4 linked regions of the Lepisosteus oculatus genome follow. The protein of the gene in region 3 interacts with the protein of the main gene of each other region in a pairwise test. Links are inferred from orthologs where the notes say so. Each region holds a gene or a part of one and is shown on either strand. Other genes may lie near its edges. The genes, in order: gpr25, mfsd5, creb3l1 and pgap2.

The links.
Region 1: the proteins of creb3l1 (region 3) and gpr25 interact in binary tests that used the Homo sapiens proteins (3 or more experiments, as listed by UniProt). The two-hybrid records come from large-scale screens. The link is inferred for Lepisosteus oculatus from reciprocal best matches to the Homo sapiens genes CREB3L1 and GPR25.
Region 2: the proteins of creb3l1 (region 3) and mfsd5 interact in binary tests that used the Homo sapiens proteins (3 or more experiments, as listed by UniProt). The two-hybrid records come from large-scale screens. The link is inferred for Lepisosteus oculatus from reciprocal best matches to the Homo sapiens genes CREB3L1 and SLC61A1.
Region 4: the proteins of creb3l1 (region 3) and pgap2 interact in binary tests that used the Homo sapiens proteins (3 or more experiments, as listed by UniProt). The two-hybrid records come from large-scale screens. The link is inferred for Lepisosteus oculatus from reciprocal best matches to the Homo sapiens genes CREB3L1 and PGAP2.

The regions. Positions count from the first base shown.
Region 1 is NC_090700.1:30,700,592-30,707,488, forward strand, and holds gpr25 (probable G-protein coupled receptor 25), read right to left. Parts: upstream 2,642-6,897; 5' UTR 2,615-2,641; coding exon 1,484-2,614; 3' UTR 515-1,483; downstream 1-514. UniProt on the Homo sapiens protein: Orphan receptor.
Region 2 is NC_090696.1:18,952,154-18,960,125, forward strand, and holds the start of mfsd5 (molybdate-anion transporter), read right to left. Parts: upstream 3,007-7,972; 5' UTR 2,919-3,006; exon of another isoform or gene 2,876-2,918; intron 2,869-2,875; exon of another isoform or gene 2,524-2,868; intron 1,233-2,523; 5' UTR 957-1,232; coding exon 1-956. UniProt on the Homo sapiens protein: Mediates high-affinity intracellular uptake of the rare oligo-element molybdenum.
Region 3 is NC_090716.1:4,505,982-4,513,459, reverse strand, and holds the start of creb3l1 (cyclic AMP-responsive element-binding protein 3-like protein 1), read right to left. Parts: upstream 3,011-7,478; 5' UTR 2,721-3,010; coding exon 2,619-2,720; intron 1-2,618.
Region 4 is NC_090700.1:12,973,215-12,981,213, forward strand, and holds the start of pgap2 (post-GPI attachment to proteins factor 2), read right to left. Parts: upstream 3,019-7,999; 5' UTR 2,760-3,018; coding exon 2,740-2,759; intron 209-2,739; coding exon 71-208; intron 1-70. Other genes in the region: nup98 (nuclear pore complex protein Nup98-Nup96), read left to right, coding at 4,609-4,684, 5,628-5,723, 6,715-6,762, 7,795-7,977.

The sequences.
Region 1 (6,897 bases), on a different chromosome or scaffold from region 3:
TAAAAAAATTGCGTAAAACATTTTTTGAAAGAGCTTATATTACAATGACAGTCTAGAAGTAAATGTCCAATGTTTACAAAAGTTTTAGATCTTTTTTTGTAACGAGATTTCAAATTTCACATTTTGTAAATGTGTTAAACAATATAATACAAAGAGCGATCAGTTTTATTGCGAAGATCAACTAATGCCACGAATAAACATAACGATAATATAACGAAGTACCAGTTGAACTGAACAGAAGTTACTAAAATATTTCAATCTTAATGCGTAGTTATAACCTAGAAGGTGAATATAAAAATGTTTCAATATGTTGCAATAAAATGTACGTCATTTTTAGCTCCTTTAAGTCATCCGCACTAACTGTAAAAAAAAGTCCGAGACTCCAGCACAATTCTTCTCAATCTCGCACCTACAGTAAAACCACTCATGCAGCACGTTTAAAATTGTAATTTGTTTTTAAATATTTTTCCGTTTTTTCCACAATTAAAAAGGTTTCTCCAATATTTTCAGTCCATTTCATATTTAGAAAAGCGTCTACTGATCTTTATTTCGTATACACATTTTATACATACTGTATAAGCCACTACTTATTATTTGTGTTAAAACGGAAAGAACAGTAAAAACGTACCCAGTGAACTAATACATTCTATAGCGAAAGCATTTTCAAAACACGAGCATGATCTCACTTCTTCAGTCAAAAAAGCTGAGGGCTTTTGAAGTTCTCAGCCTCTGAAGCGAAACTGACAGCGGTTAACACTTCTTATTGCATCTGCATGTGAAGAGCAGCCCGAACTGAGGTCTCCTTTCATGGCAGAAAATAATTTCATGTAGGCTGCGACAGTAAGATGATATCGCTGAAACGTTCGTCTATTAGCCTATTTCCCTCTTGCACTGTGCGTATATGTTCCCATAATTGATTGTGCAAAACAAATAAGTAATGATATTGATACAAAATTGCATTTTTTATGCAAAATGGCATTGAAACAAAAGTGAATTCGGAGAAAGTTGTACAGCTCACTGGAAAGCGACTTTAACAAGTTCTCTGCTGTTACGATAACTGGTGTGGTGCAGAGTGGCGAGCGCTGAAAATCAGAACCTTTCGTTTTTTCATTGTCATACCCAGGGCTTTCCTGTTTTCATACAACATATTAAAACGAGGTGGCGTTTTAGACAAATGTAAACATTCCCAATTAATCAGGTTTATGACCTACGAAGTAATCACGAGTAATCTCTCAACATGATGCCGAATGATATAAAAATACTAAAAAGTTCCTCACAATCCACAGACGCAGTTTTAAGCGTGCAGAATTTGTTTTTTAATTGCCTGACAAGATCGGTTTTTATCTTGTCAATGTTCTGACACTGGGGAGAAAAAAGCTGGGAAACTGAACCCCAAATACCAGGACACCCCAAATCCGAACTCTGCAAACCTCGCGAACCGCTGCCACCTCTTACTGCAACGCCGTCTCCGAGAGTAGGTCCTTCACTGCAAGTGAACTGAAGACATGCGGCAGCGAGGGTAACTGGACACCGAGTAACTGTCAATGGTGAGCCCGGAAGAGGACGCGGCTGGAGCTCCACTCCGCCGCTTGATCTGTGGGCCGAACCAGCCGAGACAGAAGCGCAGAGCGCGATGCCTGAAGTGGTGGTCCAGGAAGATGTAAATGGCGGGGTTAGCGCAGCTGTTTAGGAAGGCAAAGCAAGAGGACAGGGTCAGGCCCCTCGCCAGGGTCGTTTGAGAGGCGCAGGACAGCGACGCGAACTGGAGCTGGCAGGCGATGAGGATGGTTTTGAAGACGTTGAACGGCAGCCAGGAGACGACGAAGGCCACGATGATGACCAGCACAATCTTGAGCGAGTGTCTGCGGCGCTGTTCGGTTTTGGGGTTTTGAAGGCCGGGTGGGTTACGCAGCTTCACCAGAATGGAACAGTAGCAGGCAACTATTATCACCACTGGGAGCACGAAGGCAAGGAAGAGGGCGACAAGGCTGATCCCGTTGAAAACAGCTGAGTCGGCGATTTCGGTGCACAAACGGGCCGCGCCATTTTCCTCCACCCTCCGGTAGATAAGAGAGGGCACTCCTAGCGCGATGGACGCCAACCAGATGACGCAACAGGTCAAGCGTACGCATTGGTTGCTGCGAAGGTATCTGGAGTCCAGCATCCGCACGACGGCCAAGTACCTGTCCACGCTCATGCAGGTGAGGAAAAAAATGTTGGAGAAGCGGTTCACGGCGATGACGTAGCTGCTAAACTTGCAGAGGAAATCGCCGAAGTCCCATTGGTTTTCCTTCGCCGCCGAAATCCCCCAGAACGGTAAAGTGCACACGAAGACCAAGTCCGCCACGGCCAGGTTAATGACAAAGGTGTCCACCAGCCTCCTGTTCTTGTGCTTGGAGGCCATGATGACGATGACGCACAGATTCCCAATGAAGCCAGTGAAGAAGATGAGAAAGTAGAGGGTAGGTATAATGACGGACTGCCAGGGCAAGGATTTCTGGGGACAATCCAATAACTCATGCCAGTCAGGATACAGGTATGTGTAGTTCTCGCTTCCGTTGAAGTCATCTTCAGAGTACTCGTAGTCCGTCGTGTCCATGGTATTCGCCGCCATGTCGCGCAGTGTGGGGACCCTGGTGAGCGCACTGTGCGGTACTGATAGCACTGCAGGGCGTTTAATATGCCAAGTGGTTGGGTCACGTGCGCGCACACACGACGTTTTTTTATCTTTGCCAGCCAGTTTCACTTTTGTTGTTTGTGTCACACCGAGGTAGACAAAACTGCAAAAGTTTTAACTGAATAGAAATGAATGTCCCAGGAATTATACTGGACTAGAAAACAAAACAAACAAATGTTATGGGAGAGTGGTTTAGTGGTGAAAATTAAGAGCACATAATAATAATAATAATAATAATAATAATAATAATAATAATAATAATAATAATAATCAACAAGGATTGTTTCTGCGTTTTTAGGTTTTAAATATCCGACTTCAAACGTACTTTCGAACAACTTCAGTGTACAAAACGGTAAGCAATCTGGCTAAATAGGCATTACATAAAAGGTGATTCACTGTCCATTGTAGGGGTGTTTCATATACTGTGCAGCTGTCCATGGGCTTGCATTTTGGGTAACGCACTTAAATGACGGGAGTTCTGGACGTCTGGGACTGGCAGGGGGCTAAAAAAGATGTCTGATACATTCCAGTCAACATTTATAGACCAGAAAGTGAATTTGAGCATTAAAACCAGTTAAATTAAACCCGAAAGAGACAGTGGGGCAAACCGCCACCGGACCAAACGAGAGCGCCCAGAATAAAAGAAGAACGTGAGAGCCGGTGTTTACAGTGCAGGGTAAAAACTGCAAGATTAACAGCCGCTCAGAGCACCGTCACTCTGTCATGTGTAGAATAAACTGAGACTCTGTTAACTAAAGAATCGTTTACGAGGGTCCCGAGACACATTTTCTCGTGTGTCAAACACGGTTTTTTTAAATCGTACTTGAACTTTGTGAAGCTGAACTAAACAAAACAGATTTTTTTTAAGATGACTGATTTCCAAGGCGCTATAGAAAATATAATGACTAAATAAAAAAAAAAAGTTTTACGTCTCGTAACAAAAATAAACGGATATTGATTAGACGAAAGCCATTGACATACAATTGTTTTGGAGATAAAAAAAAACCTGTGCAGGCACCTCTAACCGTGAGGATGAAATTATAGTTTGTATAGTTTTTCTATAGTAGTTTGTGACTCGACTTTGCGCCTGGGCTCTTGCAGTAACTTCAAACAATGTTAATCCCACAAACGGAACTCAAGTTGCTCCGTCTCAACATGACAGTTTTTACCAGCATATTTTCATTATTAAAAAAGACACAGCGCAGCAACAGGAATCCAAAGCCTAATTTTTTAACTCGCCTCAAGCAAACTAATTATAATTTTGCGGTTTCACGCATTGAGTTGTCTTATCAAAAATGAGTGGATTCCAAGAAGACTTTTTCCACGCGAGAACATTTCTCACAAAGGTAAGGTTAACTTCAACTGAGTTAAATAGCTCATAATTAGCACAATTAAGAAGGATTTTCGAATGTTTTTTTAAATAATATTAAATCTTCTTTAATTTCGAACGGCTTCTCTCGTTTCGGGATTAGTTTATATGGTTAAACAGTATTTTTCAGAAATCAGTAATAGGTTTATTCCACGCTGAAAAGAGAAGAAAGAAATCACAACGTTTCGGGTGTGACACCCGAAAAGGGCTCCACAGCCTAAATGTTGTGTTTTTTCTTCTCTTTTCAGCAGGGAATAAACCTTTACTTGTTCCTTTGTAGCCTACGCATGCTGACGCAGCCGCCCACCTGAACTTTTTCAGAAATCTATTGTTTTAATTTTTCGGTAATATGTTTATTTCGCTTATTGAGCACAATTTGTGGTCGGATGTTCATTTTTGTTAATTTGAATTTTATGATGGAAATGCATTTTCAACACAATTAAATAATAGAGATTATTTTAAGCGTTTAAGGACATCGCGGTCGAAAGTGGAGAAAAAATTATGCATCGTTGAAATATGTAGTTTTACTGTGTATAGTTTAAAAATATCTAAAGGTTTTTAGAATGCTTTGAACATGTGCGGTGTTGAAAGAAAATGACAGAAAAAATTGTTTTTATGTTGTACCAATGTTAAATTATTAAAAAATATTTCGGGACGCTTCTAACAAAAGTCTTTGTAATCTGGTGATGAAGTGTTTTGCAGAGAGCATGTTTAAAATACTTTTTTAAACTTTTAAATATCTGTATTTAGAGTTTCCAGTGCCAGTCATGAATGTCCCCAGAGTAAAAATACACGTAGAAAATCAAAATACTTTATTTCAAGTGCCTGAACAAGGGGAAACACAATTGACGCTCTCGTGTTGCTGGTAGTCGGGAAATTAAAATTAATGTTAGTGTTTAATACCACGGTCTTTCAGAGTTAGAATCAAAGTGTAGTCAGTCTCAGCTGATCTTTTTAATGGTTTCAGTGTTCGTCTCCTTTCGTGGTCGACTTCGTGGTTTTAACATTTTAAATCCCGAAAACCACTGGCAAGAAAACAGCTAGCTGAAAAGGTCTTGCTCCGATTTTTGAGATTGTGTTCATTGCATAAGTCTGCCTCAAAAATGAAGCAGTAGAACAATAATGATTTAAATAACCCTTTCCCCCTCAGAAGGTGGTTATTGTTGACAGGACTAATATTTAACGTTTTAGTGCTATTTTACTCGGCAAATTGAAAAATGCCGTGTTTAATGATGTGATTATTTTTAAAGCAAAATTGTTCTTCATAAACACAAGATAATTTCAATGTCGTTCACTGACATTGAACGACAGCGCTTTCATAAATGATGGAGGGCAATTTAACCAGTTATTCTTTACAGAGGCTGTGAGTGTAGAAGTTGAACTAACATAAATAAACCACATTTACGATTTCCCGAAAACAACCATAAAAATGAAATATTTCACAACCTGATCTCAAAGTCTTGTGAGTCTTACAGAAATTAGATTTATTAATATATATATTACTTTTAATTAAAGAGAGGAGCAATGTCCTTTAATTAATAATTTAAATAATGGGTCCATTACCATTTTGTCCAAAGTGACTTAATAGAGACTTGGAAGTGAGCTGTGAATTTACTATCAGGTGTTTTAAAATCTCTGATACAGGATGTCCCTGACCAGGAATACTGTAAGAGCCTTTCTGTTAATAGTCAGGCATACAGAGCATAAACAGGTCAGGATACTGCACTGTGAATCAGTGGAATGGCTTCAAAACCATCTAACATAACTATCAACCTGCTAGCAATCACACTTCTGATATTTGCTTATTATTGGTAACTACAGAATTTAGTTATGGCACGCTCTTATAACCATCAGAAAAGATTTTGACAGAGTGAACAAAAATGATATTTGAGTATGTAGCATAGTTATATTAAGAAGTTATTACGTACTGGTCTTGGCAGTATATTTTAAGCAGTCAAATAAAATTGATTTTATTGATTCAATGCCGATAGCAAGCTCGTTCTCCAAGTGTTAGTTGTAATTAGATTATTTCTCCCCATTTTCTGACAGTGAGCAAGTTCAAAGCTGCAACCATATAGGCAAACAAGAAGGCAGAGCAGAAAATGCACAATCTACAGCCAGGGCTTTGGGTTTGGAATCGGTCCTGCAGAAACGTAACTTGTAACGTATCTGTGACATGTCACTTGTGCTATTAAGATAAAGATAAGATAACTTTTTTGGCCATATACAATTTCTTGCATTAGGAAATTGTCTTTTCGCATACCCCAACTTGCTCTCCATGAGACACACAGACAGAGAGAAGCTTGGGGTCAGAGCACAGGGTCTGCCATTGTACAGCACTCCTAGAGCAGTTGGGGTTAAGGGCCTTGTTCAGGAGCCCAACGGCCACAGGATTTGAACGGCAACCTTTCAGCCACAGACACAGATCCTTAGCCACAGTGCCACCGCTCTGACGATTTCATTTAACCTGGGTGCTGCGAGGTTAAGGGAAGCTCACGGAAGAGAAGCTAATTAATTTGTTTTTCTATACCCACTTTTTCCATTTTGAGAAATCAGTTGCATTCAGTTTTACAGCGGAGCAAGAAAGGTTTGAAAGCCTCTTTGTGGGGCCCTATGAAAAATATTGCACCTGTCCTTCTGAAACCTTCTGAAACCTTGACATGCTAAATCTGCACAATCGTTACATTCTCCCATGCCTATACCTTGCTTTGTATCGCTTCGCCACAGCCTGGCACATTCGGCCTGGTGCCTCACCACCTAAGGCTGTGCATTTTTAACTATTACCATGATCTCACTATTCTTTTCTGTACCTTACCAAGCCCTTAACTTTACCACGGCAGATGTTTATAAG
Region 2 (7,972 bases), on a different chromosome or scaffold from region 3:
AAGCAGGAGAAGACGATGCCCAGGGGGGGGCCGTGGGGGTCCAGGACGGGCGTCCAGAGGAAGACGAAGATGTAGAGCACGCTCTCGAAGGCCGCCTGCACCCCGCCCAGCAGCAGCACGCGCCGGTCCGCCAGCAGGCAGCGCAGCCCCTCCAGGCAGCCCCGCCAGAACCGGGCCCGGCCAGGCAGGGGAAGCGGAGGTGGAGGAGGAGAGAGGGAGGAGGTCGGGGGCTGCAGAGAGCCCGCCAGCGCCCCCCGGCCCTCGCCCCCCTCCGCCTCCTCCCTGCCCCACTCGTGCAGCACCACCCAGCCGCACAGGCCCAGAGCGGGCACGGCCGCCAGGAAGGGCGCCACCGGCCCCCAGCCCAGCCACTCCGCCAGCAGGTTGGCCACCAGGCCCGCCGCCACCGCCAGGCCGTGGTTCCAGGTGGCGGCCCGGGAGAAGGTGGCGGGGATCCACTCGCGGGGGAAGTCGTGGGCCTCGAGGTGGCGCTGGACGTACCAGGCCTCAAAAGCCGTGGCCAGCAGGGAGGTGGAGAGCCCCCCCAGGACGCGGCCCAGGATCAGTACAAAGTAGTCGCGCGACAGCTTGGTGAGGCAGCAGGCCGCGTAGGCCGCGCAGAACAGCAGGCAGGTGCGGCGGCGGCCCAGCGCCAGGGGGAGCCAGCTGGCCACCGGCGCGAACAGGATGCAGGAGGCCAGCCCGAACACGTACAGGATGGCGATCTGCGACTCCAGGAAGTTGTAGTGGCGGTACAGCTTGTAGAGGTAGGGCCCCTGCAGCCAGTCGGCCCAGAGCGCCAGCAGGTAGCCGCGCAGGAAGAGCGTCTGAAAGCTGCGGAAGACGGGGTTGGCGGCGTGGGCGGCCTGGCGGGGCTGGGCGCGGCAGGCGCTGAGCTCCAGGCCCAGGCAGAGGGCCAGCAGCACCAGGAATGACAGGTAGGCGGTGACCAGCATGGTGCCTCACCGCGGGTCCAGGCCAGACTGCCCTCTCCTCTCCAGCCCAGACTGCCCTCTCCTCTCCAGCCCAGGCTGCCCTCTCCTCTCCAGCCCAGGCTGCCCTCTCCTCTCCAGCCCCGATCCCTCAGACCCTTCAGCAGCAGAGTCTCCTGTCACTCACTCCCAGAGAACTGCTTTCTCGCTCTCAGAGTCTCCGAGCCTCTGGGACAGTTTGGGGTATCTGCTCCGCTGGGCAGTGTGTCTGAGCCTCTGGGACAGTTTGGGGTAGCAGCCCTGTGAGGAGAGAGAAAGATCAGCACAGTAGTACCCACAGAGGGAAGCTCTGGACACTCTCCTTAAATAGGCCCCACACAAGGAATAGGGGGTCCATCTGTGGGACACAGCGCAGGGGACAGAAGCACTGGATGGCCACAGCTGTGCAGGCGAGAGCTGGCCGGACCCACAGGACAGCCACTGTCCTGTTTCCGGGGCAGATTCACAAACTGGGGCTGGAGGGACCAGGATAACAAGTGTATAGTCGCAGACTGGAGCAGGTGCTGGTTGACGCAGACATGGGAATAAACTTTGATTTGGAAGGAAAACTGCACCTGAGTTGCGATTAACCCTGGTTTGATCACTTGTGAGCTGGAGGCAGGTGGCTGAGAGAGCCCGCTGGCGCCGGGCAGAGCGAGGGCTGGTAGCTCTTGCCCCGTGGGCAGTTACTACGGGCAGAGCTCTTCAGGAGTCACCCTACTGGGCAACAGCAGTTCCAGAGTCCAGTTTTCCTTGTGCTGCAGCACCAACACTTTCACTTAAGAAAACGAGCTACGTTTCCCAGAAGCACAAGACAGATAATGACCAGTTTCCCACCGGTCTGCCTTTAAGCAGCAGTCTTTTAAATTATTTTTAACAACCACTGCACCACTGTGACAAACTTTTAATTATTTCTGATTTTTAGATTTCAAGCACGACTCGTGTCACAGTTGTTCCAGAGGTCACTGCGACAGCCTGGACCACGACAGGACGGGCAGGACGACTTCCCCCCGAGAGGTGGTCAGGAAGGTGGGTCAGCGCCTGGACAGTTAACACACCAAGCGACCAGGATGTTGCAAAGCTGCACGGGCCGCGGGCTCTCCTGCTCGCCTACGCGGTGTTTCCGCTTCCTCGGTACGGCTCCACGTACACCCTACCTGAGCAAGCGAACACTCCGTTGCTTTGACTTTTTTAAACATTTGTATTAAATGTATAAAGAATTTACAAATACAAATACAACTAGAGGAGCGGAAACTCCATTGCTTTGACTACTTATATTAGCGCCACTACTAACCACGTCACAGGACCCCGCAAAAAAAAAAAGTTTTAAAACTATTTCTGAGACTTACATTGTCTAACATCAATCAAATATGTCCTTATCCTTCCTCACCTGCAGAAATGCGATACGTTTGTTAGAATAAAATCAAAACCTTTAACATCCGCTAAGTTATAAAACGATTTAGATTAGTCTCAGCGGAACATGCAATGTGTATATGAACAATGATAAACACGTTGCCATGACTAAATCATAAAACACGTTTGTTTAACTTACCTTCCCTGACCAGCGCTGAGCGCTTTTCAGTGTCAAAAACGTATGATATGATTTTTCGCAGTTAAAATTACTTGTATGTTCAATACAGCCCCGACGTGTTGCTTATTCCTCTTTACAATAATGTAAATACTAACAGAAACGGTGTCCGCATGTAAGACTTGTATTTGCAGGGAAGCTAACCCTGATAAGAAACTGAGGATTTTTATAGTTATACATTTGTTTTCAGCCTAAATAATAGAAACTGCTCGTCAAAGGGACACCCTCCTGTCCGTTTTTTGAGATGGGAATCTCATGTTAAGCCTTGTGTTGGTTTATATCAGGCTCAAGCTTTGAGTTCTATGGAGGAGCATACCTGAAGAAGATTTTCCTCTATGTTTAAAAAGACAAATACTAACGTCAAACGCCTTTCTCCTTGCGTCGCTCCCGAATCAGTCACTTCTCTTCCGCAGGTCTCTACGCCCCGCCCCTCCCTGAAGCCACTGCGGCCAGAACTCGTCATGTGACCCGAGTGCCTTGCAGACTGTGGGACCTCTTACAATAATCGATCTGTGGCAACCTGTCCGTTATTACTCCTGCACTGTTTCATCTGATCTGAATATTAAAATGTATTTGCAGAGCATACGCTCGTATCCAGTGCCATCGAATCCCAGCGATTTACAGCGCCTTATTTACGTTAAACGTAGTTCGTTTGTCAACTGTAGCAATTACTCTGCCTGAACTGATGACCTGGAATCTGATATCTTGAGGGAATATTGTCTTCGTCAGCTCAATGGATCTTCAGTGAAGCACCAACCAGAGGCCACACGTGCTTTTAAGACTGAGCACAGTAGAGGCGTCTTTACACTAAAGGGTGTGGGTGTGTGGAACAAGTGAAGCTCATACGAGGTTGAAAACCGGTACATGCGTTCTCCCGCGTTCTTACATGAAACTGATGGAAAAGATCCAATACCTGACAAACAAGTCAAGACGGGCCAGTCGGTCCCCTCTCGTTTCTTTTTAACTTCCCTATGTTCCTATTCGTTTCCATAAATTTTCGGGGGTACAGGCTTAGTTGGGATAGAAGGTGAGGATTATTTTTTTAGGTAAGGATGAAGGCCAGGGTTAATATTATGAACATTAGAATGCAAGAGCAGTTACAAGGAGATGATCTCCTCCAGCCGTTTCTTGAAAAAAGCCAGGGTATCTGCCTCATGAATCTGACTGGGTAGCTTGTTCCACACCCCCTCAACCCTCTCCGTAAAGAAAATGTCTCCTGCTCTCGGTTTTAAATGCATTATATGTTAACCTTCGGCCTTGAGAGGGGTTAGGGTACAGTGTTATAGAACGGTTTCGCCGGGGATGTTATGATGTTATGGTTACCCAGGAGTAGCTGGGTAAGGAGTTCAGGCTGAGCTACGGGCAGGCTCAGTGTTCACAGGTAGTAGGACGGGGGTTAAGTTTTGAGTTGCTATTGGAGGCGAAGGGGATAATCGTCACATCAGCGGTTTCGTTGTTCTAGATTTATCGCAACGTCGCCAAACGGTCTTATCCCGCGAAACCGTCCTTTGGCGCTTCAAGGGTAGGGAGGCAGTGCGCTTAATCACCACTAGATGTCGCCCACACACAGGTCTTCATCCAGGCACCCATTTCCTAAACGTTTCTTCCAAGTCAGGGTCGCGGGGCAGCTGGAGCCTATCCGAGCAACGGGTGCACGGCAGGGCACACCTTGGACGGGACACCAGTCCATCACAGTGCATAGAGGCTTTCCCGTTCTGAAAAGATTTTCTATTGCCTGCAGAACCTGAAGTAACGCTAGTTGACACTGAAGCAAAGCGCACGAGTTGTTCGTCTATTCAGTAAAACAATGAAGAACTATTTTGCGTATTTAAGCTCATGTTAGTCTTGCAAGGAAGTAATATTGCTATGTTTTCTCAAAGGCAAATTGTGAGTTAGAGAAAATGACTTCTTCTGCCAAAAGCCCTAAAATAGTAACCCAGCTGAATTACAGTGAAATGGTTGTAAATATGTCATTTTCAGTGCCTAATGTGTTCTTACAGAAATGAAACGTTTGTTCTTCTTCACACAAGGGTTGTAAGGAGCTACAACAGCTGCCCAGCTGTGCTGTCGCTGCAAAACCCCAAAGTTACAAAGGCATGTGCTCTGTATCTGACTGTGTTCCCCTTTAATTACAAACAGGACCTATAACCTATTACCAGTAGAGGTCAAATCTACAGAATGTAGTTCAGGTTTGCAGCTGCGTCAGCATGCGTAGGCTGCAAAGGAACAAGTAATAGGTTGATTCCATGCTGAAAAAAAGAAGACAGAAAACACAACGTTTCGGCCGTGGAGCCTTCTTCAGGTGTGGCTCCACGGCTCCACGTGACACCTGAAGAAGGCCCCACGGCCGAAACGTTGTGTTTTCTTTCTTCTTTTTTCAGCATGGAATCAACCTATTACTTGTTCCTTTGAAATCTACAGAATGTCTCGCTTGAACCTCGGATATATCTGACAGACTCTACCGAAATTTCTAGATGTTATAATTCCCTTTATACTTATATCCCTTCAAATTATGGTACCAATTAACACACCTAGGGTTTGGGTGAAATAGTTTTTTCTGTGGTGAAGAATCCAGACACGTAGCCAGACCTCCACAGCGCTGGCGCCTCGGAAAACTGCAACGCCCCCTATTGCCAGCAGAGGGCGATCTAACCACCGCCATTTTGCCTATATATGAGGGATTCGGTTGCTTGTACCGCAGATCTGCTGTTTTTTACGCGTGCCTTCGGGTTAGTCCACACGTGAAAAAAAAAAACTCACCCTCTTTGACGGCCAGAGTATGCAATGTAAACCCAGCAGTCAGCCAGCAGTCATATCACCCTGCAACTCACAACTGGCGACCCACTGCAGTTCTGCAGGTGTGAGCCTTGTCAGTACCTGGATGGGAGACCTCCTGGGAAAAACAAAGGGCGCTCACCCTGCGGTCTGTGTGGGTCCTAATGCCCCAGTATAGTGACGGGGACACTATACTGTAAACAGGCGCCGTCCTTCGGATGAGATGTAAAACCGAGGTCCTGACTCTCTGTGGTCATTAAAAATCCCAGGGCGTTTCTCGAAAAGAGTAGGGGTGTAACCCCAGTGTCCTGGCCACATTTCCCATTGCCCCTACCAATCATGGCCTCCTAATAATCCCCCTCTATGAACTGGCTACATCACTCTGCTCTCCTCCCCACTGAGAGCTGGTGTGTGGTGAGCGTTCTGGCGCACTATGGCTGCCGTCGCATCATCCAGATGGGGCTGCACACTGGTGGTGGTGGAGGGGATCCCTATTACCTGTAAAGCGCTTTGAGTGGAGTGTCCAGAATAGCGCTATATAAGTGTAAGCAATTATTATTATTATTATTATTATTATTATTATTATTACTACCTAATTGGAGTGGTTAGGGGGGTGTCATTTTAATAAGAGGTGCAGACGGTCGGGCATCCCTTGAGGTTCCCCGAGCACACGGAGCGGGCCAGTGATTCGCGGTTCTCCGCGCTGTGTCTCCCAGGACTCCAGAGCTGGGCCCACTGGTGCACACGGGCCTGTCCGGGGCTTCCCTGTCCTTATTTTCTCCATCCCATGCACCTGGAAATATACTCACCTGTTCCCATCCAACTCACCCACCGAACCGCGGTTCTCTCCCCTCCTCACCCCACATCCCACTGGATCACCCCAGGGAAACACACTGACCAAAGCCGCCGGCCAAACACACCCCTCGGTGCTGGGGCTCCAGCAGCAGGAGACGTCTGCACGGGGATGTCGAATCCCTGTTCCAGCGCCCCTGCTGGAAGAGCAGAGAAGGAGGGAGACCGGGCCACGGGTATTTCACGGGCTTGGAGAGTCCCAGCACCGCACTGAGGTCCCGTGTCTGTGCGGGGGGAGACAGTATATTGGCCGGTGTTTGTGTCTTATACGTGACACCACCCCCTGCGAGGCACTTCTGCTGGCACGATGGGGAATCTTTTCCTTCCAAGTCGCACCACAATCTCTCCATTGATTTTTGAGTGCGAGTGCGTGGGAGAGGAACTTTTACTCCGGTCCACGGCGTTTTTATTTTCAGTGTGGGGCGGGCGGTGACTGTGCAGGCGTTGACAGTCGGAACCCTGAAGGGGTCCTGTTCCCTTTGTCACCGGGCGCAGAAGGCAAAACACCGCCCGTAAAATCCCGTTTTGTTTTTGTTTGTTTGTTTGTTTGTTTGTTTGTTTGTTTTTTTGCGACGCTATCTTGCCGGCTCTCACCCGCCTCTGCGAGGGCGCTGAGTGACAGCGCCGCCGCTGCCGGGGTCTTCATCAGAGCCGGGGATGTCGCGCAGGGAGTCCACACTAGCCTTTGCAGTCCGTCTCCGTCTCGGTCTCCGAGCTGGACCGCTGTTCCCACTGAGCGGGCCCCCCTGTGGAACAAGCCGAGCTCACCCGGGCAGCTGCTGCCCCGGCGGCGGGGGGGACTGAACTGTTAATACCGGCTTAATTCGGAGACGCCGAGGTCCCCGTGCCAGGGTCAAATCTCACACGGGCGAGAATTTCAGAGCTGCTGCTGTGGCTCCCCGCATCGCCTGTGCGTGTGCAGCACGTGAGAGCGAAGGCTTATCGCCGCTAATAGAACGAATTAGGACCCTCCTCCAGTTCATAAATTCACAGCCTCTGTTCTCCCTGGGACGGTACGTACAGCTGTTTCCGAGGGATGAATCATCTGTAGATGCGACCTGCCCTTCCCTAGACGGGCGCCTCCAGGTCAGTTCTTTGCACGAAGTCATGAATCTTCCTGGCAGTCTCTGAAGAAGGAGCCAGAGCCAACGTATTTCATCATGTTTCTGCTGCAGATATACACACATCCCAACTTTGAAAAACTGATTTCGGGGGGGTGGAGGTACCCCTTGAAAAAAATCAGGGAGTCAGGGAGGAGAGGCTGATTTCTGGGAGACCTGGGATGTCTGGATATGCCGCCTGTAAAAGGTCAGCACATGAGCAACGATGGAACAGCTTTACCAGAATTCTTACCTCAATGTTGAAAATGAGCCTAGGAAAAATGTCATTTTCAGGGGGAACATACTGTATAAGTGCATCTTGTGTTAAACTTGGACCCCTACCTAGATCATCAGGGAGAAGTGCAAAGGGGTGCCAAGTCTCACTCGAGAGCCAGGGTGCAGGAGCCACCTCTACGCAAAGGGTTGTTGGAGTCTGGAACAGGTCGCACACAGCTATGGTGCCCAAGCTTCTCTGGTGAAATGGCTGGATGAGGGCATCTGAACCAACAAGCTGCTAGGCAGCGAAATTCTCAATGGGCAGAATGGCCCTCTGCTGTTTGTAGCTAATGCTATCAGCTTCCTGGGGTTCAGATGGGCGCCGAACCCCAGTGAAAAAAACTCTCCCTACTGGGCAGACTTCACACACGAAGGAATCTGAAGACTGGGAGGAACCCAGGATCCCGGAA
Region 3 (7,478 bases):
AAACCCTCGGAAATATGTGTTGAGAAAAGCCACTTTTTGACCACTTCCTTTGAGGGTCAGATCAGATCATTGCCACATTTGTTAAAACAGATTCTAAAGAGTCTTAGATGTTGTAAGACAAACTAGCACTCGACTGGTTTCATGTACTCTGTTTAATAACAAACTGGGAATCCCACATAGAGCAGTGCAGCCTTGAAAGAGAACAAGATTGATGTATCTCCCTTGTCCATGATGAGCTTTTAAACCTGAGCCGATGCAAGAGTTGAGGTTTTGCAAAAGCAGTCAGTTTTACCTTCAGTGCGCCTCATTTACCCATGCACCTCATACCTCTCAGACAGCAGAAACAGGGGGTACACAAGTAACAACAGAAAAAGATGAAGAGGTGAACTAACCTCCCGAGTGTCACGTAAGGAATAAGGCATATTTTATTACAGTTGAAGCTTGCAGTTTCTTTTCCTTTCCATTAGGGATTATTTTATCCTAGCCGGCCACAATGTTACATGTCAATACTAAACGGAACTGAAAAAAGAGGTCATTGAAAAACATGGAAGAAAATGGAAATAAAATGAAATGAGTATCTAAACACAGGAAACACAGGATGATTTAATCTCCCCACAAAAAAAGGCCTGAAAAGCATTGTATTTACTCTTTGTTTTTGCGTTGACAGTGGCAGCTGGATTTCACCTTTGCAACTTGATGCTTTTCCTATTAATGCACAAAAGAGTCCTTTCACTGGGTCAGTCCTCACCACTTGGCTTTCCTTAATAGGGGCTTGAGTGGAGAGGCAGTGACTGCAGGAGCAAAGACCTATTGGACACACAGGCCTCATTCAGCCCCCACACAGCACTGAGGCAGCAGTCAGAAACAGACCCTGCCCAATTAACCTAAACATACAGGTCCTCCCTCAGTAGTCTGTCAGTGCACACAGGATAAAAAGGCCATTGAAGCCCAGCTAACAAGAGCCCTTTATTGTTGAAGTGTGAAAAGATGTCTGCATCCACAGTCTATTGTAACTACTGTATGTGGGAGCCCTGACAGGCCTTCAGTGCCGATTTCAAGTTTCAAGAGTTAGGGAGATGTGACTTAATCCCCACCTCATTCACACTACGAGAATATGCAGGGATGTCTGGCTGTACTGCACAACCTGAAGATGAGTGTGCATCATGCAGAGAACTGTGATAATCAACACTATTCCACATACTGTATACTGTACCCTTCCTAATCAATCTAGATGTCCAAGAAAAGCCAACTCATTCTTCCATGAAGATGACGTTACAGATACAGTTTATACAGCTTTTCCCCTTCAGTTTTTTTTACAGAACCCATGAGTCATACTGCATAAGATAAGAAACATTGTTACTGGATGGGCGCCAATTTATTCATTAAGATTAAAATGAAACATCTTGTCCGGGCCAAGTCCGGCGGTTTTGATTCGCCACAGTTCCTACAAAGCCGATATTAAAAAAAAAAAAGATCAGAAATGAAGGGTACATACGCCTGGTCGACCACTTTAAACACGCAGACAACGAGTTACCTCTGCGTGCTGTCAGAGCTACACATTTTCATTTTTCCGCAAACGTCTGGTGAAGTATGTTAACGCATGTGAACACGCCACATGAAAAACACTGGACAAACGTCATCTCCATCGCAGCACAGCGGTGCTTGCGGTCTTTACTTAAGGTGCTAGAGAGGGATTCCACGCTGGTGTCTAATCAAGCAACACACACACACAAAAAAAAGATTCAGTTTTGTCTTGCATCCGACAACGAATTTAAACCGTGGCAGCCTCGCAAGCCCATCTGTTCACTTTCCGATCTCCTGCACGTTCAAGACGCTCACAAACGCAACACTCAGCCAGATAGCACTGCGCAACCTACGGCAAAACGCGTTTTTCGAATTCGCCCTGCAGCTTCAGTCGAAGAGGTCGATAAACAACCACCACCAGGATGTGCGAGCTAACCAGGATAGGGATGTCTAGGGAGGAGAAGAGCCGGGGTGGGCGTGAGAAAGAGCCCGGGCCACGCCTCCTCGCGGGGGCAGAGCTCCGAGAACAGACTCGGCGTTTAGAGCACAGCTGGGGCAGCTCCGCTGGCCCGAAAACAGCTGCTTCGCGGCGGAAACCGTGTTTACTTTCTTCGCGGAAAACCAGTCCTCAAGTGGCCGCCGCCGAGTGTTAACAAATGAAACAGTTTGCTGTCCACGCTGACAAGTAAACGCTAAAAGATCTCGCTTGCGCGAATTGGGTTGCCCGTGGGTTCCGGTGCGTCGAGTTACGATGCAACCCTGAACAATCATTACAAAAAGTTCCACACAACATTTAAGGGTTTTGTTTTTGGGAAAAATACATTTGCCATTTTCTGATGTGGGATATTTTAGAGCGTTGCAGAAGCGTTTGGTATATGCTCCCACAGGGTTAGGAAGACACATTTATTAACAGTGGCCACAGGGTTAGAAAGGAGACGCGTTATAACAGTGATGCGGTAGTGTATGCATCTTCTGAAACTAGGTTTGAATATTTTGCATTAACAGTGGTTCAGAGGCTATTAGAAAACATAAGTGTGCCTTGTCAAGGATCTAAAATAACGAAAATGAGTAATGTAAGTCAATCGTTTACGTACCACGTTACTGAGGAAGTCGGCTTCATTCAGATCTTCTAAATCCAAGAGATTGGAGTTAGGGAAAAGTTTCTCGGAGGTGAAGTTGTCTAGGATGGTGTCCATTTTAACAACGGAGGTTTCGATATTAGTTGAGGGAGAAAGAGATCAGAATAAATGGATGCAAACTTTTCAAAATCTAAGTTGTTGGCTAAAGATACGGAGATGTAAGAAGTTGCGTTGTCTCCCTAACTCGAGCTGAGTTGTAGAACTGAAGTGAAATAATGCCGTTTGCAAATGAACTGTTTGCAGTTCTCAATTGAATTCGCTCTTTTTCTTCTAAAAAAATGCTGGGTTAAAACCCTGTATGCTAGAGAACGAGTTCTATATGGGTTCTGTCAAATGTGTTTCATCCAGCTGGGGACTGTCTCTAAGGAGTCCATCAGATGATTAATATTCATTTAAACTCCGCCTAGTTTCTCCTGCCTTTTTTCTTTCGTCTTTCCAAAATCCCACCCGTTGTCTCTTAAAGCCACAGTGGTACATTAGCCCTTTTCAAATGAGCTCTTTATAAAATAGCCCAGCCCCGGCTCCTAAAATTGCATTTTTTTTTACGGGATGGAACCTTTTAACCTTTAACAAGCTTTAACCACTTTTGTTGTGCGGCACCAAATACCGACCGACAGCGCTGCTCCGTTCTGAACGGGGGTGCAGGACCGTGTCGAGACCGGCCAGGGTGCGCTGTGTATCAGCTGGGCTCGGGGAAGAGGAGGGCTCTCCAGCGCACGGATCAAAACCGTGTGTGTTTCGCTCGATTCAGGATCTCCTTTGGAGCCAACAGATCCCATCCGTCGACAAGAAGCTAGGGATGCGAAGCGTCTTCTTCGAGAGAAAATAAATGCAGCCACATATTGTACCTGAAAAGGTTTCGAATCGACTCCTTTACGTTTGCATGTTCGTTTATAAAACGTTTATACAGTATATATGTGTGTGTGTGTCCACATGGAGAACTGCATTTTCTGCTGCGCTGCAGATACCGTGAACGACACCTTATCCCCATGATAGCATTTGACTGTAGCAGGGACGGCCGACCGAATTCTTCTAGTGCCTAGTGTCTTCTGGTTTGGGGGGGATCAATTTAATTGAGCAGTCAATTAAATAAACAGTTATCCTAATTATTTTTTAATTAGACACAAAGGGTTTTTAATATGGTCTTTTACAGCTGATTAATGAGACAATGAAACACACTTCAGTAAAAGTAAAGCTGGACATAAAACATTTCCAATCCTTGCCAGAGGTATTAACAGTTATACTGTGAAGGAAATAATTCCACCAGCTTTGTAACTGAGATCTCAAATGGAACATACATTCAGGAGACACTCTGCTTTGATTTGAAATACTTTTGATTTAAAACAAAGGGTCTGAAGACCATCCAGGCCTCAAGGGCTGGTTTTCCCTTAATTGAATTCCCTTCATTATTCACTTAATTGACCAATAAACTACAAGTGTTCCTAACCTTCAAGAAATGGTTGGTTTGGGGTGACTCTCTGGCATTCATCCACTGGCCGCTTCTGTGAATTCAGGGTGGTGGGGGGCCAGAGCCAATTGGAGCTCCTTGGTAGACAGATCACACGTTAATGGTACCAGGCATACCAGAAGTGTCCGAGTCCTCATCCCGGCCCTGGAGGATCGCCGTGTGTCCGGGCTTTCTAGGGCTCTTTCAGGAGCAGCTCCTGAAGACTCTGAGAGAAGATGTTAACCTGGGCCGATTAAGCCAATAATGAGCTGATTTCGGTCATTAATGAGATGGGCTGCAGTGAACACCCCACCCAGCCCTCCAGGAAGGGAGCTGAACACTTGTGGTGACATCATCCATCTGTATCCTTTCTCTTTTAATCCTACAAGTGCAATGTGCTTTATTCCTTCCCTGTTGATGCAGGAGGCACTTTGATTTATTATAATAATAATAATTGCTTACACTTATATAGTGCTTTTCTGGAGACTCCACTTAAAGCGCTTCACAGGTAATGGGGACTCCCCTCCACCACCACCAATGTGCAGCCCCACCTGGATGATGCGACGGCAGCCATAGTGCGCCAGAGCGCTCCCCACACACCAGCTATCAGTGGGGAGGAGAGCAGAGCGATGAAGCCAGTTCATAGATTTCTGGATCTTGGTGTTCAAATGGCATTAATAGGCTAAAATATGTAACGGTGGTCACTGTTAGAGGTGTAAACGAGAACTCGCTTCTCATTTGTTTGTTTTTTTGCGTATTTTGCATCATCTTATTTTGTTGCGCTCTGCAACAAGCTGATCCACATTTAGACTGCGGTGTTATCTATCTCCTAAAAATAGAAATATGGGAAAAGAGCTACACCGAGACAGCTGCTCAAACCCGTATCTTCCGTGTTCTCCATTAATCATGTTTTAGAAGTGCTTATTCGCCCAGTTCAATTCGAAAGCTTTTCATGTGTAGAAGAACTGCGACGTCACTCGGAGAAGAGAAGCAGCTGTGCATGCCTGGACGAGATCGGGGTTTAATGATCAGAATGCGCGCTGCAGCTCAGTTTCTCTGATGTGCTCTGTGAAACTTGATTAGAGGCGCGCTAACAAATAACTGAAGTAAGACGTCTGAGACTTCTGCTGCTTGGCGCATCTGCCACCCGCGAACGCTAAATTAACATACATGCGGCGAGCCGTGTGGGCGCAGAAAACAAAACTGCGCAAACGAATAATTAGACTCAGCCTTTCACACAAACGTCGCAGGAGGTTGTCCTCCCTCCGCAACAACAAATATTTATTTACTTTCTCCGAAGGTTGCTTAAACAACAGCAGGGTTGCAGGGGGAATGTTTTTATATGCTACAAAGGGGTTGAAATAAACGTTTTATTGCACAGCCGAAATGAAAATCAGCCAGAAGAACATTCATTTTAGAAAATATTTTTTTAAATGTTTATTTTGTGAACGAAATAAGTTACGTATTCGTCGTGTCCTGTCCATTTTTGCTTTGGAAATTTTAGTCTAGTCTCCTTGAGATGGTTTATTTACTTCTTGAACTTTATATAGGGGATCTACTTGATATTTTCTTGGTATAGCGGGATTCATTTAGCTTTAGAACTTTATTTTTTAATCAAAGGCCTGAGTAAAGCCCTTGTTTCAGGAGTGCCTTTGGGAAGGTAACACTGCTTGCGAATCCCTGTTAAACATTACACAGCTTCATTACTGACTCCCTTGATGACTCTTGTCATTTTGCACATTTGGACTTTTCTAACACAAAGCGTGATACAAAAGGCCGGTCTTTAAAATGAGAAACAAAAGTGAAAGCCAAGTAAAATCTCCTTGGAATCACTATGACATCTTCCCAAAGTTTAAACCGTAAATATTTCAAGCTCTTGAGACAGTAAGCGCCGCCTTCTACATCTCCTGAAAAAAGCCTTTAAAACTAATACCGCACAGGAGAGGTTGTATAAAATGTCCAGTTAACAAGTTCGAACTCGCGAAACCCTGTGTCACTTTCTCTCTGAGGCATTTACGGAGATCAGGAATGTCGCCCTCTGGAACTTTCCAGTGGATACCTTCACGTGTCTGAAAATGTCTTCTTACGATTAACAATAGGTGTGCAAGGTTTATTTTTTCTAGTGAGTGGTCCTTAATGGCACCTCTTGGGGCCCTCTATCGGCGGGCTGCATTTCAGGTCGCCATTCCATAAAGGAAATTTGTGACTGGGAGTGTTTAAGGGCCGAGGTCTCTTCTTCTTCTTACTTCTGTTACTTCACAGATAAAGGAGCATTGTGCCGAGCCTAACTTTCAACTAGCCCCCATTTCTTCTCAATTAATACATGATCGTCTTCTTTCATTTCTGCATCTTCTCCGTGCAATATTGTGTTGAGACTTCGATGCCATTCTCTGGAAGTTCCTATCTTTAAAAATGAAGGGAGGCCATAGATGCTGCGTGTAGCGGTGCGACCACAAAGCATACAGTATATATTGTAATTCATTCATTTGTCACACAGTTATTATTGGGATCATCGCTATTTGATCCTATGTGATCTGTTGATCTACTTTGCAAGCAATTTATGTTTAGAAAATGAAATACATTTGCAAGTTTTGTTCAGTACAGCCTTGTAATCACCCCCCCCTTCCCCCCAAAAAGAACGTTTTTTAAGTTTTTGGCTGACAGCATTGAGAGTCCTTTTCAAACAAAGTGGAACTATGGTAAAAAAGTACGCGTACTTTATAACATAGGGTGATTGTTCCTAATTCCTAAAATACTCTTCAAAACTAAAGTATCTGGAAAGTCTGTCATATGCTATGAAGTCACTATTTGTGAATGCAGACAGAAACAAGCAATGCCGTGATTAGCCCCACAAGGCTCAAATTCCTCGGTAGGGGACCAATGGGGAAAATACTGGAAACGTGACCAGACATGACATCACATGGTCATTTAGACTTTTTAAGGAGTTTTTTTTGCTCCACTTTCTGTCCGTTCAACCAATGTTTATCATCAAAAGAAGTACAAAAAATGTTAGCGTTAATGTTTTAACAGCACACATTTAATTGTGTGTTACTTTCAGCGGCTATCTCCCCAGTTACTGTAATTAGAATATACTGTATACTGATTCCCTTTTTCAACTGGCTATTAAATACTTTGAGACTAAATAAACCAGAATAAATAACACAGATTACACTAAAAGTAAAGACCTCACCTCCACACAAGACTGTTGCTTGACTGTAATTTTACTGTGTGATGGCCCACAGTCAACTGTTCTAATAAGATCTATGCAGAATATTAGGTTGTGCTCCAATGTTGCTCAGGCACTGAAAGCTCTGCTTGAGGTACCAGTTGAGGGTTCAAACCAGGGTTATGAAATTTGTTAATAGTGA
Region 4 (7,999 bases), on a different chromosome or scaffold from region 3:
AAGTACAGTAATTGCTAACTCCATGTTATGGCCTATTCAGACGTTCCAGCCAGGGACTGGAGTTCTGTACCTTATCCGGCAGACAGGCTTGGGAGCCGAAAAAGTCTGGAGCAGAACACGGCCGCCACGGACGCGACAGACTAAGCGATCGCTGAATGAAGCATCATCATGGACACGCACTAGAACAGTGGCAAGTGCAGTTCTGTTTCTATTTGAAATTGCAAAAGAATCATTGAATGAACACTCAGAGAGAGAAAAAAAACAATTTAGGAAGAAAAAATATGTGGGTGAGTACTCTTCTCTAACAGCTGATCTGTTCCTGGCAAAGCTGGTAGATTTATAAAACCCGAGCGTAATAAAATCAATTGAGTTCGTGATGTTGCAGAATGCATGAAACGAAACCTCAGCGTGTCTGTGTGACTGTGACTATGTCCCCGGAAGAAGCAAAGCACTCACACAGGTGTCAGGCTCTTTAAAGAGACAGGCTCCCAAAAGCGGAACGAAATACTCCAACGTTTCTTAACGACGTACAGTACGAGTGCTTGTACTGTACTTCTTTCCCGTCAAAAAGCGAGATGTTGCAAACGTAGAACTAACTTCTACGCATATTGCAATTTATAATCTCCTTTTCCTTGAATTTTCGACCAAGCCATTTTCTGGCCTGCATTCAAAAAGCAAACTTTTTCTTTCGTTTACTGCATTTTGTTACATATTTCATTTAAAACATTAACAACACTTACAATTGGACATATTACTTACATTGCTTGACTCGTTTCTAGAACATGTAACATCCCAGGAGACACGACCTTTTATAAAATTCAGTTTCTAAGAATGTAGTTTTTGATCCACAAAATACAGATCATCTGTGTGCTCAGAAATTCCTATTTATGTTAAAGATATATATTGCAAGATTAAAAACTAACTAAAACGGTAAGAGAAGGAAGGTTTATACCCTTTCACATTTTAAAGAAAGAATATAGCATTATTTTATTAAAGAAATTAGAGTTAATATTGATCAAGGTGTTTCATCCAGCCCTCACAGACAAGAGTTTTTTTTTAATATGAACAGATTATTTTGGCTTTACTGTACTATTGGTTAATACATCTTTAGAAACAGGTGATCTGTAAGACCCAGGATAGAGACATGTTCTACAGAAAGTGGTTCCCATCCTAGGTCCTGAGAGACCAATGTCACTTCTTGGTTTTGCCCAATCCAAGTTCTTAATCACAGGCTAAATTGAGCATATTTTAAAATTTGCTTTCAGCTTTTAAAAGGTCAAATGGGATTTGTAATTGGCATTAACACGGTACCTCTGTGCCAAAGCTGTGTTGTATGAAATGTACTCAATTAATCCTCTGCTGAAGGAAAAATAAAAGCTCAATGTGAGTGTCTGCTACAGTGTCATTTTCATCTGTGTGTTTTATTAAAAATCAATCACATATTAACACATTGTAGAGAGGCTACTCCATGTTCTGTATGCTGGAGCCGTTGGAAACCCTATCCTTCTATATCTCCTGACTGAGTATTGAAATAGCCTGAAAGCCTGTGCTTGCAAGCAGAGCAGTTAAAGTCATCAATTAGTACTGAAGATGTGGAGCTTAGCTGGTAGGGAAGCCAGCAGACACAGTGGTGCCCCAGGGACAAGGTTTGGGAAGTTTGTTCTTCCACATTCCTGGGTCAATACAAAGGGGAAACTCCATTACTTATAGCTGGCAGCTATATCACTCTGCGAATCACAACTGGTAACCCACTAACGCTAAGCAGGTGTGAGCCTGGCCATTACCTGGCTAGAAGAGGTGTTACTGGGAACAGTAGGGAACACTCACCCTGCGGTCAGGGTGGGTCTTAATGCCCCAGTATGGTGACGGGGACACTATACTGTAAATAGGTTCCATCCTTCAGATGAGATGTAAAACCTTAATCATAATGACACTCCATAGTGCTAAAAAAACCCAGGGCATTTTTCAAAAAGATTAAGGGGTATAACCCCATTGATCTAGTTAAATTTGCCTCTGGCCTTTAACCAGACACGGTCTCATAAGAATCCCCATTTATGAATTGACCTCATTACTCAGTTCTCTTCCCCCCTGATAGCTGATGTGTGGTGAGCATACTGGTGCACTTTGGCTGCTGTTGCATCATCTAGGTGGGGGCTACACATTGGTAGTGGTGGAGGAGGGAGTCCCCATTACCTGTAAAGCACTTTGAGTGAAGTGTCCAGAAAATGAAAGATACTGAAAGTGGAACTATTGTGTAACTAGTGTAAGTGGGGATTATTATAACTTGCGACTCGTAACATACCTCCAGAAAGCCCACATTTATTTAAAGTTGGTGAGAAAATTAAATTTGGGTCTGATTGTCACTCTACTTTTGGAACTTGCTTTACTTTTTGGAATAATTTCCAAATATGGTAAATCCAACCACCATAATGCAAGTACACATTAAAAAATACATTTATCATACAGCTGTAGATAAGGGGAGACTGGTGCTGCCAAGACAGACCCGTGAAAACTGCAGGACTGTAGCCCCCCAGGACCTCAGCGAGGCACAATAGTGTTAGGACATGGGGAACACATGACCAGGGAGCTACAGTATGTTTTTCATAGGATATGGGATCAAAAAAAACTGAAGACCGTTATATAAATCTGGAACAAAGTTACAACCCCGCAATTGATCCTATAAAACGGTAGCATCGATCGAAGACTACAATAAGACAACTTGCCTCTACTTTTACCCACCCGAATGAAATACAGCGCATTCATCCACCAAGTGAATCACGACTGCGAATGACTCACTATTCAAAAACGGTCGTGACTAGAGGAAGCGACGAATTCCACTCGAGCTGCACAGCAACACATGATCACGTACGGCCGTCCAGACCCGAACAGATTTAACATAAGCGGCCGGTCGCTGCCAACAGCCAATAAACTGGGACTTCGCTCCTAAGGCCTCCGAATGGAGGCGGGACACCAATTCAAACTCTACCCAGTCGCGAAAGTGCAATAGATTTACAAGCTGATGGGCGACAGTGTTGTCCAATAATATTTCAGATCCATCTGCAGTAGACGTCAGAAAGAGGTCGACATATTACGTACTGACGTAGTTTGCGTACTGCTTGGCCTTTCAAAGGTAAATTACGCAGTTTCTCTCTTCCTTGGGCGATATTGAAAAAAATATATATCGATATTGGACACTGTGGATAGTGAGCTACATAAATATCATCTTGTATTCGGACCGCTTTTGCTGGAAGAACACCTGAGGAAGATATTGAGTGGGCTTCTGAATAATACGGTAAGAAATATCGCTACTTTGTAATATTTGGTTAATTTGCACGTTTCTCTGTGGTTGGCCTTTTTAATTTGCATAAACGTGGCAGCTTCAGTTGTTAATCCTGAAGTACAATGAGAAAATATATTCCAGGGGAATATTGTAATTGCCAACGTACTTAAATGCGTGTCTGCGAAGCTTGTCTGCCTGCAAGCATATGCGACCAAGTTTGTGTTGGCTTAGCACTTTTATGTCGCAAGTGTGCATTTTATAATAATTCACATTCTTTGCTTCAGTTTCAGGTAGCAAGTGATCGGGGCACATTTTAATAAATCAAAAGAAACACCAAATACTGTAACATTGCTTGGTATCTCCTTCCAGCGTTCTCGTTTGTTTAGATAGCGATTTCATTTTTTTTTAAAAAACCGGTTTGTTCTGGTTCCTTCCAGCACGATCGGTCGAAACGCACCTAAAATGTTTGTTTTGGTATGCTTTAAGGAAGTAACCTAGGATCTTCGAAACCCCAATTCGTGCCCTGAATTGAGGCTTGTATGTGGTTGCCGCTGAAACCTTGTGCTTTAGGCCTCGACCATCGGTTCTGGCGCCTCTTCAGCGTCTTCCTGTAAACAAATCCAGCTTTAACGCGCAGAATAACCCACCATAGAAACGACTTCAAACTCCCGGAGTGATTTGTTGACAGTGTTAATTTTGCACGGTGGCTAAGAACGGTTCGCAAAATGTAGTGTTTGCCGATTCACCCGCTGTGTAATGAACTCGAATGCCGCTACATACACTTCAACAGCTCCGATCCAAGTCAACGTTTTTTTTTTTCAATCGTTCTCCTGCAGTGTTTCAGTCTTGGCTCCCGTTTGAACGTGTTTGTGCTTCCTGAAGTCTCAAAAAGGGTGTTTAGCCATTGACGTTTTCACTATTTTACTCTTTGGGGGAAAAATACGTTGTGGAAGTTCTGGGTTTTTTTTTTTGCTACCTCGATACATTTTGTTCTGTGCCGGTGCTGACTTCCAAACGAGCACTGGTAAGTTGTACTAAGGGAATGAAACGAAAACATATTTATTAGCAGTTGCCATTTCGACGCTATAAATGTGAGACTTTGTAGTTGTCTTGACGGGTTCATGAGCGAAATAAGGCTACCTCGGTATGGGTTTATGTAAAGTCGTGGAATATAAACAGTAAGAATGCCTCGACAGTTGAGATGAATATTCCATGCATTTGTCAGTTTTTTTTTATGTGACTCATACGTTAACAAAATGTGCCGAAGGTTTCTAACAGTATTTTGAATTGTTCTTCACAGACGTATGCAGTCCTGATAGGAACCGAATATGTTCAACAAAGCGTTTGGAACTCCTTTTGGAGGAGGAACTGGTGGCTTTGGAACTTCCTCCACGTTTGGACAGAGTAAGTTGCTACTTTTGCGCTGTTATTGCAGTTATAAATTCATTATTGTACTTCCATTTCATACTGGAAACATAGAACAGATTACATACTACTGTTAAGATGCTGCGCATTGACAAGTCATGGAGGGTGGTGGTGCATATAAGAAGCAAGGACAGTGAAAATAAAAGTGCTTAATGTCCATTTTAGCTTAAGGTGGAGCCTGTAAATGGATACAGGTAGGTTTGGTTTGTGGAATGTATCTCTTATCTCCTTGTCAACTTGTGTTGACATTGTTTTCAGAATCACTATTTTACAGCTTGCCTTACCGTGTATTTGTGTCTTTGTAGCTGATATCAGGCATGGAACAATGCTGGTGTTTGTGTACTATACTTTGATTTACACCTATTGGAAAGCAGTCAATCCTCAAAGATAAAGGAAAATGGTCAAACATGTCATGATATGGAGTTTTTGTTAGAAGAATCCTGTCCCGCATGTGATATAAAAACTAGAATTCCACAATAGTTTAATGTTAATGACACCAAATACACATATTCTAAAAGAAGAATGTATCTAATGCAATTAGACAAGGTCAAGCCAGATAGAGGCACCTAGAACACAGTTAAGTACACTTTATTGGAGTATCCCACTACAGTTTGTGCAAAAGACAAATGCAGTGAAAACAAGCTTGCCAGCTCTCTGCCAATGAGGGTGTGACTTTATAATGTTTATTGTATTGCCACTACTCTTTGTAAGTCCTCATCCCAAAGAAGTCTTCATGAAGTCCCAAGGTCCCCAGAATGAGCCCTGGCCACCCTGGCAGATGTAGCTTCTACTATCGGTCCCCCACTGCTGCCAGGTTGGAGCGAAGGCAGATGGTGGTTAATCTATGCACTGCCGAAAGACAGCTGTTGTCATTCGAAGTGTCTGAAAAACAAAATGGTCGCAATTTCAACTTCTTTTGCAGATTCTGGGTTTGGATCTACAGGTGGGTTTGGGACTTCAGCTTTTGGGTCCACTAATAACACTGGAGGACTATTTGGGAACACCCAGAATAAACCAGGTTTGCACCTTAAATTTCCCATTGTCATTTTGTCTTAGGTTTATTTTGCAACCAGTCCTGGTTTTACACGTTGTCCATGGATATGTTTGCTTTGAGATGTGAAAGTTTTACAAGTCAACAAAATTCATTCTTATCAACATCAAATGCAGAATCCTTATTGCTTAAAGTACGTTATAAACAAAGAGATTTCCAAACTGTGAAAATATGTAACAGGATTTGCAATGATAGTGTTAAAGTGCTATACTTGTTTTGGTAGTTAATATAACTCATTGACCAATATAACTTGCATCAGTTGGCACAGAATACATTTTTTCTACACTCTTATACCATAATATTGGGATACTTATTATTTTCAGTAAGACTATTGGATATAGTGTCACGATCAAGTGATACCTCTTTATGACTTCATACTATATTTTTATAGTTAAACATAATACTACATGAAGATGTGATTGGTTACGTTATTTGGAGGGTTTCATATAATTGCAAAAGAATATGGGAGAAGTTATTTTTTTCAGTTACGCAATTATGTATGGTTAGGTACACTAAAATGGCATCTATCAAATAACCTGAATTTCTGTCTGTAATACTGGAAGGTAAGTAAGGACTTGTAGACCCGACTTTGGTCCTGCTGTCAGTGATGGGAACAACTTGGCAGACATTGCATTCAATGTACCGGTACAGCATGCTGGATGGAGAAAGTGATTTAGTTATGTAAAGCTAAACTTAAAACTGTTTGTAGGGGTTAGCATTCCTAGTAATATACTGGAACTCAAATCTGCATGATCACACTACTTATTTTCAGAAGAAAAGAAGCCTCAATTAAAATAATCACATTCATATCCAAGTTTTAGACAAATAAGACTGAAAGAAAGATTCACAAATCTTGCGGAGATAATACAAGGTGGTCCTTTCCCAAGCTACGTTTTCAATGTGTGGTGTAGATCCCCGTGAATGTTTTTAACTACACTGTACTTTACTTTCTCAAAAGTGGCAACAGCAAATCCCCAACAAATCTACACTGGTGCTGGTAGAGGAGGTAAGCATCGTTTAAAGTTTTGAAAAAATGTACAGATAGGAGAAATCAATTGGATGTATATAGTGCGTTGGGTAGTGTGATCATGTAGCCATGTTATGTGTAAAGGCACTATCAGGGGAGAAGTCCATTGGCGTTCAGTCTGTCAGCTCAAAACACTATTATATGAGAATTATGTTCTCTTGATGATTTTTTTAAGATATACTCAACACAGTCTTTGACAATTGTTCATGCCTGTTTTTCTTAAATCCACAAGCTCTTTATTTCATGTGTAGTAAATATTCTGTCATCCATTTTCTAGCTGCTTTATCCAAGTGTCGCAGGGGAATCTGAGCCTATTTTAGTAAATATGTTTTAGCGTATTCTGTATACCATATGAAACACAACCAAAAACCTATCACAAGTATATGACCTACACATATAGGGCACCATTGATATTGCCCAATTTTAAAACCTAAGTATTTAATTTGCCTTGTTTTCTTATTTGTGCTTTTCCCCATTATTGTATGGAAAGTTTGGTGGTGTATCCCTTGGAAATCTGTATTCTGCTCTGAAATGCTCATGTGCCATTAAAATCTGTCCCTCTTCCACTCTTGGGGACACATGCTTTTTCTGATTGTCCACACGTAAAATGATTTATACGTAACCCATAAGGACAAAACATGCACACTGTCCGTGACTTTATCATTAAGTTCCCTGGAAAGGTTTCCAGAGAGTGTGTGCACTTCAAAGGGGGAAGTGGATTACCAGAGGAAAGTGAATGTGAAATGATGCCTGTTGGTATTTCTGATTTTTCAGGCAAAATTCCCCTTCAGTAGATTTTGTCTGTTAAATCTGAGGTCTTGTAAAGCAAAGTTTGTTTAACGTAGGGATTGCTGTAGTGATATTAATGGAGTAAATCCCTGCAATACTAAGTTTTTTTTTCCCGGTAGAAGTCAGCCATTGAGGCTTGGTGTTGGCTTTCACTTTTCTAAACATTTTCTGTATTTCTTTCTCACTTGTTTCCCCTTCATAAAACAAAAATGTAAATTAAAGGTGGACTCTTTGGCTCAAGTACGTTTAGCCAGCCTGTGACGTCCTCCACTAGCACTGGGTTTGGGTTTGGTGCTGCCAGTGGTACCTCCAGCAGTCTATTTGGAAGCACCAACACAGGAGGAGGAGGACTGTTCTCCCAGCAAAACAATGCATTCGGCGCGACCAAGCCAGCTGCTTTTGGCAGTGAGTTTCCATTTTCTTGTGT